Linked DNA regions of Lonchura striata. The protein of the gene in region 1 purifies or fractionates together with the protein of each later gene. This does not show direct contact. Links are inferred from orthologs where the notes say so. Each region holds a gene or a part of one and is shown in the gene's direction. Other genes may lie near its edges.

The links. The genes of interacting proteins can lie anywhere in the genome.
Region 2: the proteins of SIRT1 (region 1) and FOXO1 purify together in Homo sapiens (affinity purification with western blotting; 5 studies listed by BioGRID and IntAct, with this or other methods). This does not show direct contact. The link is inferred for Lonchura striata from reciprocal best matches to the Homo sapiens genes SIRT1 and FOXO1.

What each region holds. Positions count from the first base shown.
Region 1 is NC_134609.1:35,338,446-35,345,907, reverse strand, and holds the start of SIRT1 (NAD-dependent protein deacetylase sirtuin-1), read left to right. Parts: upstream 1-4,366; 5' UTR 4,367-5,312; intron 5,313-6,203; 5' UTR 6,204-6,232; coding exon 6,233-6,445; intron 6,446-7,462. UniProt on the Homo sapiens protein: NAD-dependent protein deacetylase that links transcriptional regulation directly to intracellular energetics and participates in the coordination of several separated cellular functions such as cell cycle, response to DNA damage, metabolism, apoptosis and autophagy.
Region 2 is NC_134604.1:63,789,342-63,796,326, forward strand, and holds the start of FOXO1 (forkhead box protein O1), read left to right. Parts: upstream 1-3,932; 5' UTR 3,933-3,947; coding exon 3,948-4,553; intron 4,554-6,985. UniProt on the Homo sapiens protein: Transcription factor that is the main target of insulin signaling and regulates metabolic homeostasis in response to oxidative stress.

The sequences.
Region 1 (7,462 bases):
TCTGTGCTGCTGGGCAGCTGCAGGTCCAAGGGCTGCACTGCAGTGACAAACCTGGCAGCTGGGTATTCCCTGGGAATGTGCTCCCTGGAGCCTCAGCCCCGCCTGGACTCCTCTGCCACACACAGCACGGCTCTGACCGAACTGCAGCAGTGCCCACACTCACCCCTCGAGGCACAAAGGCTCCCAGTGCAGGTTCGTGTCTGGAGAACACAAAATACACTGAACAAGAACTCAGCCTTTCACTGCTCCTATTGACTTCTGAGGGGCAACTCCCAAGGCATCATCAAAAAGGAGTGCAAGAGCAGCCACGTGTATTACACAAAAAAATTACAAAGATATGCTCTGGGACATAAAGTTCATTTAAAAGGGAATTGCAGCGCAGGAGATGGCACAGACACATGCCGTGGTTAGTGTTGCTCAGGATGTACAAACTGTTCTGGAAGTGAGGAAATCTCATATTTGTTCTCTGTACCCAACCACCAACAAAAGGTGTCTCTCAGTCCTAACACATATTGACAATTCTGTTTGTTTAGAGCCTAGAGTGAATCTAAATCCTGCTCCAATGTAACAGGACATTTACCAACAACCTGTAAAAGTCATAAATAACCATTGAAATAAAACAGTAAGGTCTGGAAATCTCTATTTGAATTTATTCCTGTAAAATACATAAAATCTTCCAGGACCAGTTCTTCTCAACTGACTTCAGAGGTTTTGCTTCCTGAGGGCAGAGAACACATTTATGAGAAGTCCAAGGCACCATACAATTCATTTGAGTTTTGCATGGTGTGCCCCATCCTTGTTCTCACAGAAGCTCAGAGCTGCAGAAACAGCAGAGGACCCAAGTACTGCCAAACTGACCTCCCACAAGAAGGTAACTCCTGCAGCACCATCGCTGACGTGGAGCAATGTCTGCAGGATCAGAGGTGGCTTTAGGATCCCTGAGCCACTCCCTCACCGGTACCTCCACAGAAACCTCAGATACTACCTCTGCATCACTTGGATTATTTCTTCCTTAGAACTGTCTTCACAAAAATAACCACCAAACCAATCTTACATCCCCACCTCCCCTTTATATGCTGACAAATGCATCTTGCATGTGTTTTTTAAGAAATACAGATCTCGCCTCAGCTTCCAGAGGCAAGAAGGAAAAAGAACGCTTGCACACAAAGTTGCATAGAATAATAAAAACTTTCTGATCTGATTACTCTGCAGCTTGTTTTGAGAAGCAGGTAGTGGGAAAAACCAGTATGTACGTATTTTTCAGGGTTTTTAATACCTTAAAGAACCAGAAAAGATCCCCAAACCTCTCTCCCCCAACAAAGACTACCTATAAAGTTAATTATCCATAAAATAATCCCTTTGAAGCCACATGTATCAACATTTTTAATCCCAAGGTTTTTTTAAAAGCTGTTGGTTAGCAAGGCCTGCAAGGGAGAAATTCTACCTCTGTAACCTGGGTCTTGCCACTAAAGTTAGGAATTCCATTGTATTAAAGCCACTAATACTATCCTGCAAATAGCTCGTGATGTTGAACAGTAACAACAAAGCAGCATTTACATTTCTATCCATGAAGTTTAGACCAAAATTCTGTGTTGGTGGCAGTTCTGGGAAGAAGGCTGAGTTCTATCCAGTCCAACCTCCAAGGCGGAAGGGAACTCTGCCATGGGAAGCCCACGCGTGGCACGGTCCTGTTGGCTGCAGCGCCCAGGTGGGGCTCTAAGGGCTGCTCCTGCACTCCAGGGAACGAGAGATCCCCGGGACAGCAGGGAGACCAGCCGCGCCCACTCCCGCGCAGCACGGGAAACACAATGGATTTGTGTTTTTGTTATTCGAACAAATCCCAACTCTCGCCGCTTACCATCAGGCCTCTCCTACACCACGCAGGTTCCATTCCTAAAGCAGCAGTGATTTAGACAGGTGCTGCCCCCCCCAAACAAGCCCCTGCATCCCGGGAGCTCAAGTACCGCGATGCAGGATCTCGGGTGGGGCTGATGTGTTTTCCCGGAGGACACGGGGCGATGCCCCACAGCATCCCTGCCGGACCCCGCGGTGCCGGGGCGCTCCCTCGGCAGGGGCGGGGGCGAGCGGCACAGGGCCGGGGCGGCAAGGGACGGGAGGGACAGGAGGGACAGGAGGGCGGGGAGCAGGCTCGGGGCAGGCTCGGGAAGGGACGGGAAGGGACGGGAGGGTCGGTAAGGACGGGAGGGCCGGGAAGGACGGGAGGGCCCGGGGCCGGCGGGGCCGGCGGGGCCGCCCGAGGGAGGGGGCGCGAGGCGGCACGAGCGCCACGTGACGCCGGCAGCGCCGCCGGTCACGTGCCCCGGTTTGTTGTGGCGCGGTCACGTGCCGCGGTCACGTGCGGCGGCGCTGCCCGCGGCGGGCGGGGGGGGCCGGGCGCGAGGGGGGCGGCGGCTGCGGCGGCGCCAAGATGGCGGACGGGGACGCTGCGCCGCTCCGCCCGCGCGGCCCCGCCGGCCCCGGCAGCGACGGCGCCGAGCCCGCGGCCAAGCGGCACCGCCGCGGATCGGGGAGCGCCGCGCCCGCCCCGCGCCCCGACCGCGCCGCGGGGCCGCCGCCCGCGCCCCTCGCCGCCGTGCCCGCGGAGCCGCCGGGGGAGACGGCGGCCGCGGGGTTCGATGGCGGCCGGGCGGAGCGGGAGGACGGCGGCGAGGCGGCGGCGGCGCGGAGCGGCGCGGACGGCGGGGCCGGGCTGCGGGGCCTGCCCCGGGCGGAGCCGCCTCCGCGGCGGGATCAGGGGGAGGGCGCGGAGGCGGCGCCCGGCGAAGACGCGGCGGAGGCGGCCCCGGGCTGCGGGCGGGCGCAGTGTTCGAACGGGGCGGCCGCGGTGCCGGCCCCGCATCCCGGTGAGGAGCGACCCCTCCCTTCTCCCCTCCCTCCCCTCCTCCGCGGCTCCCTCCTCCCCGCACAGCGCCGCCCCCGCGTGTCGCAGGGGCGCCGTGTCACCGGCCCGGCCCCGCCGGCCAGGGCAGCGGCTCGGCTCTCAGCCCTGAAAACATCTATTCTGCTGTGTTGCTGGCAGCAAGTTATTAAAAATGAACAAATATAAGCCCGGTTTCCTTTTCGCAATCTCTGCCGCGTTAATTATTTTATTTCTGATCCTTAGAAACTTGCACATAGGCTCAGCAGCAGCAGTCTTGACTAGTTCTTTAAAGAACTGCAAGTGACAGTCTTGGCTAAGGTTTCAGTGACTGCAGCACAAAACTAAGCTAGATCTCAGAGGATACGGGGTGCAGTATCCTCTCTTTTCCTAAAAAGTTTCTTTCAGATATTTACTGGTGGGCAGCATCAGCATCACTGTGAAAGTACCTCACAGTGCACACTGATCAGGTTTGAGTTCTGTTTTGTTTGAGTTGTTAATTTTGGCTTGCCTTTTTTTTTTTTTTTTTTTTTTAAAGCAGTGCTTTGGAAAGACTTATTAAAATTTATCAGACACTGGATTCTGCCAGTATAGTCTTTACATTTTATCTTGGAATGCCGTTAGAGGTACTTCAACTCTGTAGCAAATGTCTGTGCAAAAGCAGTACAAAAGGAACAGGTATAGAGTAAACCTGGAACAGCCTCAGTATTTAAAATCTCCACTAGAACAGCTGACAGCCAAGCCAATGATCTGTTACTAGTGCCTTACACAAAGCCTTTTGCTCAGGTCCCTCCGAGCCTCAGGTGTTTTGCTGTGGCTGGCTTAGTTCTGGCCTGCATTATCCCCTCTGGTCCTTTGAGGAATACTCAGGGAGTGTTACAGTTTGAACTGTTACTTTATCCTTCTTGTATCTGTCAGCGTTTCCTGAATCCCAGGCCCTATGCCCTGCCTGTGAGGAGCCTTTCACAATGTAAATTTTGCTTCTTGATACAGAAGCCATAAAGGTCGCTCAAGTTAAACTTGTACCTCGCGGTTACTGATGTGTACTAATGCACTTTTTCCTTCTCCAAAATTCTCAATGTTCACTGACTTCATGCATAACATGATGGAACTGAAATGCTGTAAATAAGTAGATTAATAGGAAATAGTAATGTCCATCAGCACCTGTGGCCTCAGAAGAACAAGACAGCAAGGACCAACAACAAATTTCTGTCATTGATCTTTATTTTCTAATCAAAAATAAAGTCAAATCAAAAATTTATGCTAACAAGGAGAAGGACAACACAACCTCTGAATAAAAAATGATGGTGTTTAGTGGTGTTCTTTATTTGAGAATCGAGCGGAATAACAGCTAAAACAGTGCAGGGGGTTCTTCAGTTCTTCAGACGAGAATGAGAACTACGTCAGTGATTCTTTGCTTTACAGAGCATGAGTGAAATTTGTTCTTTGTCCATAGATTTTCAGCAAATGAAGCTACAGGTGCTGAGGCTATTTCTAATGAAGCCAGTAAAAAAGGTTGTTGAGTAGTCTATGTTCTAATAAGCTGCTCAGGCTGGAATTTAGATTTCCCCTTCAACGTGAGCTCAGTAACACAAATTGTTCTTGTTCTGCCCTGGGCTCACTCATCGAGGTCTGAGATGGAGTTAGATTGAGTTACTCTGGCTTAAAGCCACGGGCTGAGCTGAGGTGACTCTGGCACTTTGAGCCAGGCCCAGCTGCAGGGCCAAATGGACGAGAGAAACTTAGTGAAGGTGGTACAGGGGAGCATGTTCTGTGTCACAACTGAAATATCATAAATTGTGTATGTGGTCAGCAATACAGCCGAGCTGCAAGGTAACATCCTCACCAAATCCTGTGAATTTGTTGTAGCAAATGTGCATTTGTGGGTTTCTTTCAAAATGTTGTTAAATGCTCTTAAAACCTAGTCAAAGATCTGTCTGCACTGGTGACATGTTTTCATTTTACCCAGTTTTTGAATGAACTGAATGCAGTGGGAAAGGGAAAGACGTTTTCAGTTATACTTTTAAAACATTTGGATTATTTCTATGGTGAAATACCCATAATGCCCAACACTTTAGAGAACAAGATTTCACCAAGGTCAGCATCCAGTCCCCCTGAAGCCCAGCACTGAGGTGCAAACCCTGCAGTAAATCTACCAACATCTTGGAAGTCCATCTCTAAATGTGAAGAGAAATAGACATTTTCTGTGCCTAAGTGACAAAGCTTCTGACTGTGTGATTTTTGTTTTTGTGATCAGTTTGAAGATGCACTGTGCCCTTGGGCTGGAGTGTAACCCCATGCTCATGCTGTCTTGCAGATAACTTCCTCCTCAGCGAAGAAATCATAGCCAATGGCTTTCACTCCTGTGACAGTGATGAGGAAGACAGAGCCTCCCATGCAAGTTCCAGTGACTGGACCCCAAGGCCACGTATAGGTAAAAGCCTGGAGCATGATCTTGGATGCTCTTTGCCTTTGAACAATCACTCCCTAGTGTTCAAGTTATTTTTCCTGTTGCAAAAATATTGGCAGTTAGTGCCTCTGAACAGCTTAGAGTGTTGACTGTATTCTGTATGTTATTTAAGGAGTTTAAAAATGAACCTTGAAACTTGCTGTATTTTGATTAAAATTGTCAATGTCTTAATTTTTTCTTGAATATAAATCCTGCCACAATTCCTATGAAAAGCATACACACAGGTTCACTAAATTAGACTAATTTATGGCATGTTTCTATAGCTTGCCTACTTAGTATTAATTCTTTAAGGGACAAGAAGATGATCCCTGTATGATTTTAGGACAGTGAGCCCTCATCTCAAGTGTTTCTGGAAAGATTGATTTAATGGCTTGAGGAGGTAATGTCTGAAATAATTTGTGTTAAATGACCAAAAAACCAACAAAAATCATGGATTTCTGGTCTCTATGTGTCTGGTTAGAGTGATGGTTTATAATATCTCTGGAAAATATATGTATGTTTGTTGTTTGTTTGTTGTCAGCTTATTCCTGTAAATACTGAATGTTGGGAAAGTACAGATGGAGGCACATTGTGAAAATCCTGTTGCACCTCTAAAAGAGGTTAACTTTGCTGTGAACTGGGATTTTCACTTGACCGACTTTCTATGAAATCCTTCATGGGTTAACATAAAATAATGATATATAAATAAAATGCCCAGCTCTCACTTTTAGATCAAAATACAGGGGGTTTGATAAATGGAGCATTAAATTGGATTAATGAAACTGTACTAGTAAGGATTAATAAATGGAACAATAACCATGATAATTTGTAGTACCTAACTCTGTTTTAAATATCTGTATTTTTAAATTTTCTTAGGTCCCTACACTTTTGTTCAGCAGCATCTCATGTTAGGTACAGACCCACGGATGATTCTGAAGGACCTGCTACCAGAAACGATCCCCCCACCTGAACTGGATGACATGACTCTGTGGCAAATCGTGATAAACATCCTTTCAGAGCCACCAAAAAGGAAGAAGAGGAAAGATATCAACACCATTGATGATGCTGTGAAACTTTTGCAGGAGTGCAAGAAGATCATGGTCTTGACTGGAGCTGGGGTAGGTATTGCTGCAATGACGGTGTGAAAATGTGGAGCCAGGTTGGTTCAGTACTTCAGTACAGCTTGCAGGGATGGGAACAAGAGGTTGCAAACCCTGCAGTAAATCTGCCAACAGCTGTCGGGGGAAGAGTCCAGTCCACTGCAAGGACTGCAGCTTCCATTGGAAATCACACATCTTTCTTCTCAGAACCAAATATTCTTAGACACAGAAACTTGTAAACAGCTGCTCCCATGCAAAACAGTTTTGGAATAAGAACACATTATCTGTCCAGAACTTTTTCTATCCTAGTCTTTTGTTTTAAAGCAGAATCTCAGTGGATCTCTTAAAATCCCAGATGGAGCTTGAGGGACTGGAAGAAGAGGATTTGAAAAGAGTTGGGGGGGAGGAGGAGGATGATCATAAGGACAGTTTGGTCAGATTTCAGCAGACTGAATGTTACTTTCAGCACGTGGTGCTCTGTGGTGCTGATAAAACTACTCACTCTTTGACTAAAGAACATTTCTGAGCTGCAGCACATTTGCAGCTCTGTACCTGTGCACCAGATCATTTCTTGTTTCTGTTGTTCACACACAGATGGTATGATACGATCCAGATCAGATGAGTAATTCAAATCAGCTTTTAGAAGAGCACTGCTACTCCCAGTCTTGCTCTTTCCATACTTGCACACACCTGTTCCTCTTCCCATGCTATTTTGGGGTAGTCTGAGACAATGATTTCAGTCCTTATTGACTACTACAATGCTTTGATAAGCAGTGTTTATTGATAAACAACTTTTATCAAAAGGGGTTTATTCTTCAGAAGTAAGAATATATTTTTTTAAAAGCAAGACTATTCTGTTAGTGTGTTAGCATGTAAAAAAAATTTAAAATATCAACCAACATTTCTAAGCCTGAGTTGGCAGATCTGTGAACAATTAATAATTAAATTTAATGCAATAATGCTCTAAATTTTTGTTCACATCTTACAAAACTTCCAGTGGTAAAAGCAAGTTCTGGTATCCTGTTACTACCTGTG
Region 2 (6,985 bases), on another chromosome or scaffold:
GGGCTGGGAGGGGAGGTGACTGAGGTGCTGTGCCAGCCCTCTGGTAACTTGGGCTGCTCAGAAACATGCACTGCAAATCATGTCCCCTCTGAGGTTCAGGGGAGGAAACTGGGGGTACTGAACTTCCTCATCCTTGCTCAGAAAATAGGATTTCTCCCAGCTCTGATGATACCGGACACAACTGGGTATTTCATTGTTGCTTTTCATGCTGTAAAAACATTTGTACTCTCTCACTGTGCACATACGTGTAGAAAAAAAGAGCTGTACATAGAGTATGAGTGCTTTCAACTTCATGTAATCTCCTGCAGAATTTGATCAAAACCTCAGAACGTGAATTATACAGACAGTAGTAAAAAGACAGCACAGATCCTTTATTTTGGCTGCTTCAAACCCAGAATATGAATAGAAGGCTCTGCTTTATTTCAGTGATGATAAAAGGCAATGTTCAGGTCTTAAATTCGAAAAAAAATACAAGCTGATGTTAAGGTTGATAGGAGATATTGTATTGTAGAGGAGTAGAAAATGGGAGCAGGAGTAGGAGTAGAGAAATGAAAAGGTGGAGTGTAGGAGGAGGAGGGTGGGAGTAGAAAATGAATTGTGGTGCATCCATCAGCCTTTCAGAATTGTGGGAGATGAGATAAACCTAATGCTGTCATTTGTAGATGCAGTAAAATTTCTTGTACCGAGGCATCACTATGCTGAGCTGTTTTAGGAGCAGGAAGCTCCCCTCAGCAGCTGAATGGGTGGGATTGTTCACATGACATTGCCTAAGGGTGGTCAGCAGTGTTGGAGTGCACTAGGAGAGCAGTGCAGACAGGGTTAGACACTTTTATTGTGCATGGCATGTGTTGCTTTGACTCTAAAATCTGTTGATTCAAACCCCAAATTCTTGACAAGTGTGAAGATATTCTAAAAAGTGGCTGATCACACTGGGGCCCAACAGAAGAACTCATTCACCTGGGTGGTTCTGCCAAAGTCAGAGCAAACTACCAGGATTACTCATCCCAGAGAAGTGCACAGTATTGTCTCATTGGCCTTCATCCTTCCTTCAACCCTCAGCAGACCTAGTCCCAGCTGTTGGCCTGTGATAGCCAAAATCTCTGCAGCTCAGCTCTGCCTGTTGCGTTGTGAGTCACGGGGCCCCACTTGCTGAGCAACTGCAGCATTTGGAAGTTTCTGGTATTATCTTCTCCACCTCCATGTCCCTCACATCTCACTTCAAGCTGCTGTCTGCAGTCTCTGTATTCACTGTTAACTTCTGAGCTGCAAGAACATCAGTGACATGGGGCACAAAGGTGGCAGAGCCCTGCCAAGAAGGTGAGGGCAGTGACAGAAATGTCATGTAGGGCCAAGAAAGAGGAATACAACCTCTATCCTGCAGAATGACCTGGGCTGAACTACAAATGCACCAGGGCTTCCTGAAATTCCCAAAAAGTAGCTTTCCTCCCGGTTTTCACAGTTGGCATCTGACAAAGGGAAGCTTTTTTTTTTTAAACATCTGCATATTCCAATAGAGTTCAGGGAATAACATCTCTACTTTGGACAAAATAGAAGAGCAAGGACTGCAAGATTAAAAAAACTCCTTAGAAGAAAGCCTGGGTAATAAATCCACTTCCTTTCGCAGGATGGGTGCCAATCTGGCTCTTAGACCCCCCTTTTATTTTTTTTCAGACACCAAGGAAAGAAAAAGAATATGTTTCTGTGTTCTCAAGCACTTCTTTTGTTTTGGCTCCCATTTAAACACATCCATTCGCTGCGCGTCCCTGGCTGCTTCTCACCATTATATAACCTCTGCTTCTCCAAGGCAGGGTGCTCTCCCTTATTGCAGGGCAACTACTGCAGCTGAGTTGTGTAACACTGCCACATAAAGCTGTTCCAAGCTGAAACGTGGCATGCAAGTTATTAGGTTGAACTGGGACTGCTTTGCTTTCTTTTATTTTCCTTCTTTTTTTTCTTAAACTGAAAAAAAAAAAAAAAGCCTGAAAAAAGGTGTTTTCTAAAATCCATGGGCTAAGCAATATAAATTTGTGGGTTGAATCCTTTAAAGGATTAACAAAACATAGAAATTACTTAAAGGCAAAGCAACTCCAAAATCTGATGAGCAGCCAACCTATAATAAGGTATAATCACCTTTGGCATTTGGTAAAATAAACATGACAAAACCAGTGCTTTAAAATGTGATCAGTTACTATGCACTTATGTATATTTTGCACAAACTATATAGTTAGGTGTCACCACGTATCTTAAAAAGCATTTTCATAATAGACAGCATGAGTATCTAGATGTATGATCTGACAGTAAATTACATGCCGTGGCCTAAAGCCAGTCTTGTATTCTCTTCCCTTCATTATTGTTACTCATTTTCAGAAAATATTTTTATAGGAACAATGAACTGCATTTAAATAACATTAACACTTTCTGCCTTGATGCAGAAAGGAGGGAAGGGTAACAGGTTTTCTGGCTCAGCTTTGACAGTTACCCAGCTATGGTGGTTCAATGACATGCAACGTCAAATGCCATGGCTGGTTGTGAATTTTGTGACTTATGAAGCCATGTCTGAAGTATGTTTTTTAAAAGCACTCCTGCTATTGAAAACAAAACAGATTTTCTAAAATGTAGGCTTTGCCAGTTTGAACAAGGTGTTGAGTCATGTCTCATCCTTGGGATTATTTCCGTAGTTCAAGAAAATGTCTTCTTTTTAACTTTAAACAGAATAACACTTCTGTGTTATGTTGAACATATATATATATATATATATATATATATATATATATATATATATATATATATATATATATATATCTTCGTATAGTTGATGGGCAGGGGAGGCAGAGGCGATGTGTCCTGTGACTGTTGCCTCATTGAAAGGGAAGAATATAAACCTCAATGAATTGAGTAACCCTGGGGTTTGCCGGGAAAAATAAAAAGTATGTTCAATAGTTGACTTAGGATGAAATTATCCCGTGCTCCGTGCTTGATCACGGAATAAAACACCAGCTCACGGCATGAAAACATGCTCAGCCGAAAGGGAGATTTATCGCTTCGGGAGGTGCCGACACTTTTTGGCGAGGAGCCGGCCGGGGAAGGAGGGAGGAGAGGGGAGCGAGGCAGGGCAGCTGTCGCAGCCCCGGTCCGGCATGCGGGGCTGCCAGGGCTCCCGCGGGGCGGGCAGCCGGGCGGCAGCAGCGCTCCGCGCGGAGCCAGCGCTGCCGGGATGCCGCGGGAGCGGGGAGACGGCCCCCGCTCCGCGCACTCCCGCAGCCGCCCCGCTGCAGCCGAGGGATGCTCCCGGCTCCCCGCTCATCCCCGGCGGCGACACGCACCGGGCCCGTCGATGCGGGCGGCAGGACCCCGCCGGCAGCGACTGAGGTAGAAACACTCGCGGGGGAATTTTCCGTGGCCACCCTCCGCGGCTCGCCGTGCGAGCACTGGCTGCCTTTGGGCAGCCCCGGCCGCGGGGGGCACCGCCGCCCGCCCGCTCGCCCCTTCCCTCCCCGCTGCGCTGCCGGGAAACAAAAACCACCCAGAAGCAGCACGGGGGGCACCGGCACCCTCCTGCCGGAGCAGCCCCGCGGCGGGAGGCGGGCGGCGGCGCGGCGCTGCCATTGGCGCGGCGCGGGCCGTCCCTCCCCGCCGGGAGGAGGAGGAGGAGGAGGAGGAGGGAGACTGGAGGCGGGCCCGCGCGGGGCGGTCGCTCCAGTCGGTGCGCGCCGGGCGGCCGGGTCGCTGCTGCTGCTGCAGTTGCCGCGGAGGGCAGGGAGCCGGGCAGGGGCAGGGTTTAGGGCGACGGGGCCGGGAGGTCAGGCCGGAGGTCCAGGGCGGCGGGGCCAGGAGAGTCGGCGGTAGCGCCGTCGGGGCCGCGCCGATCCGCTCCCGGAGCCTGCATGGGGCGGCGGCGCTGAGCCCAAGCCGCCCCGCTCCCGCCGCGCTCCCGCCCCGGCCCCGCCATGGCCGAAGCACCGCAGCTGGTGGACATCGACCCCGACTTCGAGCCGCTGCCACGGCCGCGCTCCTGCACCTGGCCTCTGCCGCGGCCGGAGTTCAACACCCCCAGCTCGGCCACTTCCAGCCCGGCGCCGTCGTGCGGCGGGCAGCCCGATGGGGCGGCCGGAGCCGCGGCCGGGGCCGGGGCCGCCACCTCGGGACCGCTGAGCGCCGACTTCATCAGCAACCTCAGCCTGCTAGAGGAGAGCGAGGACTTCGCGCCGCTGCCCCCCGCCGCCGCCCCCCCGGAGGCTGCCGCCTGCCGCTGCGGGGACTTCCCGGCGCCCGAGGCCGGCTGCCGCCTCCACCCGCCGGGACCGCCGCCGGTGCCACCGGTGCCGCCGCCTGTGGCCGGTCTGTCACCGGGCCCCGTGCCTGGGCAGCCCCGCAAGAGCAGCTCGTCGCGGCGCAACGCGTGGGGCAACCTGTCCTACGCAGACCTCATCACCAAGGCCATCGAGAGCTCCCCCGAGAAGCGGCTCACCCTCTCCCAGATCTACGAGTGGATGGTCAAGAGCGTCCCTTACTTCAAGGATAAGGGCGACAGCAACAGCTCGGCCGGCTGGAAGGTAAGAGGCGGGTGGTGGGGGACGCCCCGTCGGCGGGGGGTCCCGGGAGGCTCTGCCGTCCCGGGCACAGCCGCGGCGCTGCAGGCGGCTGGGCACGCCGCCCCGCCGGCGGCGTGATGCCCGCTGCGCAGCCTGCAGTGCTCCGGCTCCGCGCTTTCAGTTTGACCTCACATTTCTTTTTTATTTTTTTCACCTTTCCAAAGGGAGAACTCCTAAGGGAGAAAAGCGTTCTTGGCCTCCCGCCGCTGGGGCGCTGGAGGGACCGGGGCCGCCCCCCCCGCTCTCCGCCTCCCCCAGCCCTGCCCCGCCGAAAGCAAAAGTTCACGCGGTGTCACGGCGCCGTCCCCGGGCAAAGCCGGCAGGAGCGGCGCCGCCTCCTGCTGCCCGGGGCGGCCGGCGGGCCCGGGGTAAGCACCCGTGTGCCGGGGGTGCCGCGGGAGCTCCGCCGCGGCCCCGGCGCTGCCCGGCCCCGGAACGCGGCCGGTCCGTGCCGCCGTCTACCCTGGTGCTGCAGGGCTTTGCCGTCGGGCGGTGGAGCGAGGACAGAGGCAAACAGGGATGGGGAAAGAGCGGAGGCAGAACAAGGGTTGCAGAAATACCTTGTGTTTAATGAGTAAGCCGCAGTATTTGACGTGATGGCTTTGTTAAACTTGAGTGGCGGGAGCGCCGTTCTTGTATTACGTGGTGGGACGGAGCTCCCTCTCTCCCGCAGCGCAGTCCTGCCGTCTGAGCGGAGCAACCTGTTGGCGGCCGGGATTTGTGCTGAGCCCGCGCCGGCCGGAGCCGCAGCCGGTGCTGCCTGGAGCCCCCGGTGGGATCTCCGAGGGACGCGCTCGCCAGGTCCCGGGGAGCCCTCGGGCACTGGCCGCCCCCCGACAGCTGCGGGGCGAGCCAGGCGAAGCTGCGCTTGGGCCTGTGCGGCCCCGGTGGCAGCGCCAGCCGCATAGTACCCTCCAGCTTTGCATCCCCGTGGGTGATAAAGGCTAAGGCTGAGCGCTGCTGCCAGTGAATCCTATCTCTCCGAGGCCTCCGCCGAGAAAGTGTCACCAAGCCGTGTCCCCGTGCGCGGCGGAGGCAGCGCCGAGTTTTGTGACACTTGCGTGAGAGCATTGTCAGAAGAAGCTTGTGCCGTCTGCGTACAGGCACAGCCTCCGCCGCCCTGCGAGGGATTAAATGATGGCAGTAAATGGCGTGAGGTGCGAGCACCTAGCACGGCATCGGCGCACTCTGGTGTGTTCGGGATTTAGTTCCAGTTAGGGCCAATCAAACTCTTTGCTTCGCCTTTTAGTATTTGTATTATCTATCTCTTTTTTAGAAAAAAGTGTCAACTCAAATCCTGCATTTATGTATTTTTAATTGCGCTGCTAGGAATGTTTGTTACATCAGTTTTTTCGTAAATTTCTATTTTTTTCAGAGGTAAGCAACATCCTGCTAAGGAAATGCAGATTGATCTGTAATTCATTTTTAGCTGAAAGTTTTAGGGCTTTTGAAAGTAGTTTGTTAGTTTCTACCGATGTGTTTGACTAAAAAATTTAAAGGATAATTGTCTGAAGACATCTGTCATGAAAAACTTTAATAGGAGCGAAGTGATTGATAGCTAACAGCTTTTAAATAAGGTAACTTGTCACTTGAAAGTGCTGCTTTTTTTTTTCCAGTGGTATTTTAGTCTCCTTAAGTGCCTTTTCAGAATGAGTAGAGGAGAACTAAAAGCCAAACAAACCAAAATAAAATCAAATAGCTCCCAAATTCAGGCGAGCAAGTAAGAAACACTGATAGCTGTGTAACTTACTTGGCGCTTCCTATTTTATTGCTGCTTGTCCCGTGGTGCTTCAGCAAGGAAGAAGTCTCGCACACCTCCCTCTAACAGACTGAGCACATCCCATGCCCACATCCCTCTGCTGTCACAGGGAGAGCTGCTACTGGCATGTTTTTTGGCTGCAGTACCCTCTGGTAGAGCGCAGTACATAGCCTGCTGCTGCTTTTGGGTAAATACACATGGACTCTCCTTCCATAATTAAATAGTCACCGTGTTATGCCCCCATCCTTTTGGCTGCATAACTGCCAGGCTGCTCTGAAAGTTGCATACTTGCAGGTTTTACCGCTTAAGCCAAGGAAGTGCAGAGTTTCTTTAACACACTTTCAAGTTGAGTTACCAGCAGCCACTGGGTGTCAATGCTATAAATGGCCTGGCTGAGGCGTGCAGCTCGTTTGCCGTATTTATCACCAATTCTCCACGGCTCAGTGTGAGTGAGGATTACTTTTATTTTTTTCCAGCTTGGGAGCCGTTGGTTTGCCCGTGGTCTGGGGACCTGCTGTAGGCGTAGGGCTGGGAGCGAAGCCTGAGTCAGCCGAGGGCCCTGCAGAGGAGGAACATCGCTCCAGAGATGAGCACAGATTAGCGACTGACTTTTCTGCTGACAGAGGGAGCGCAG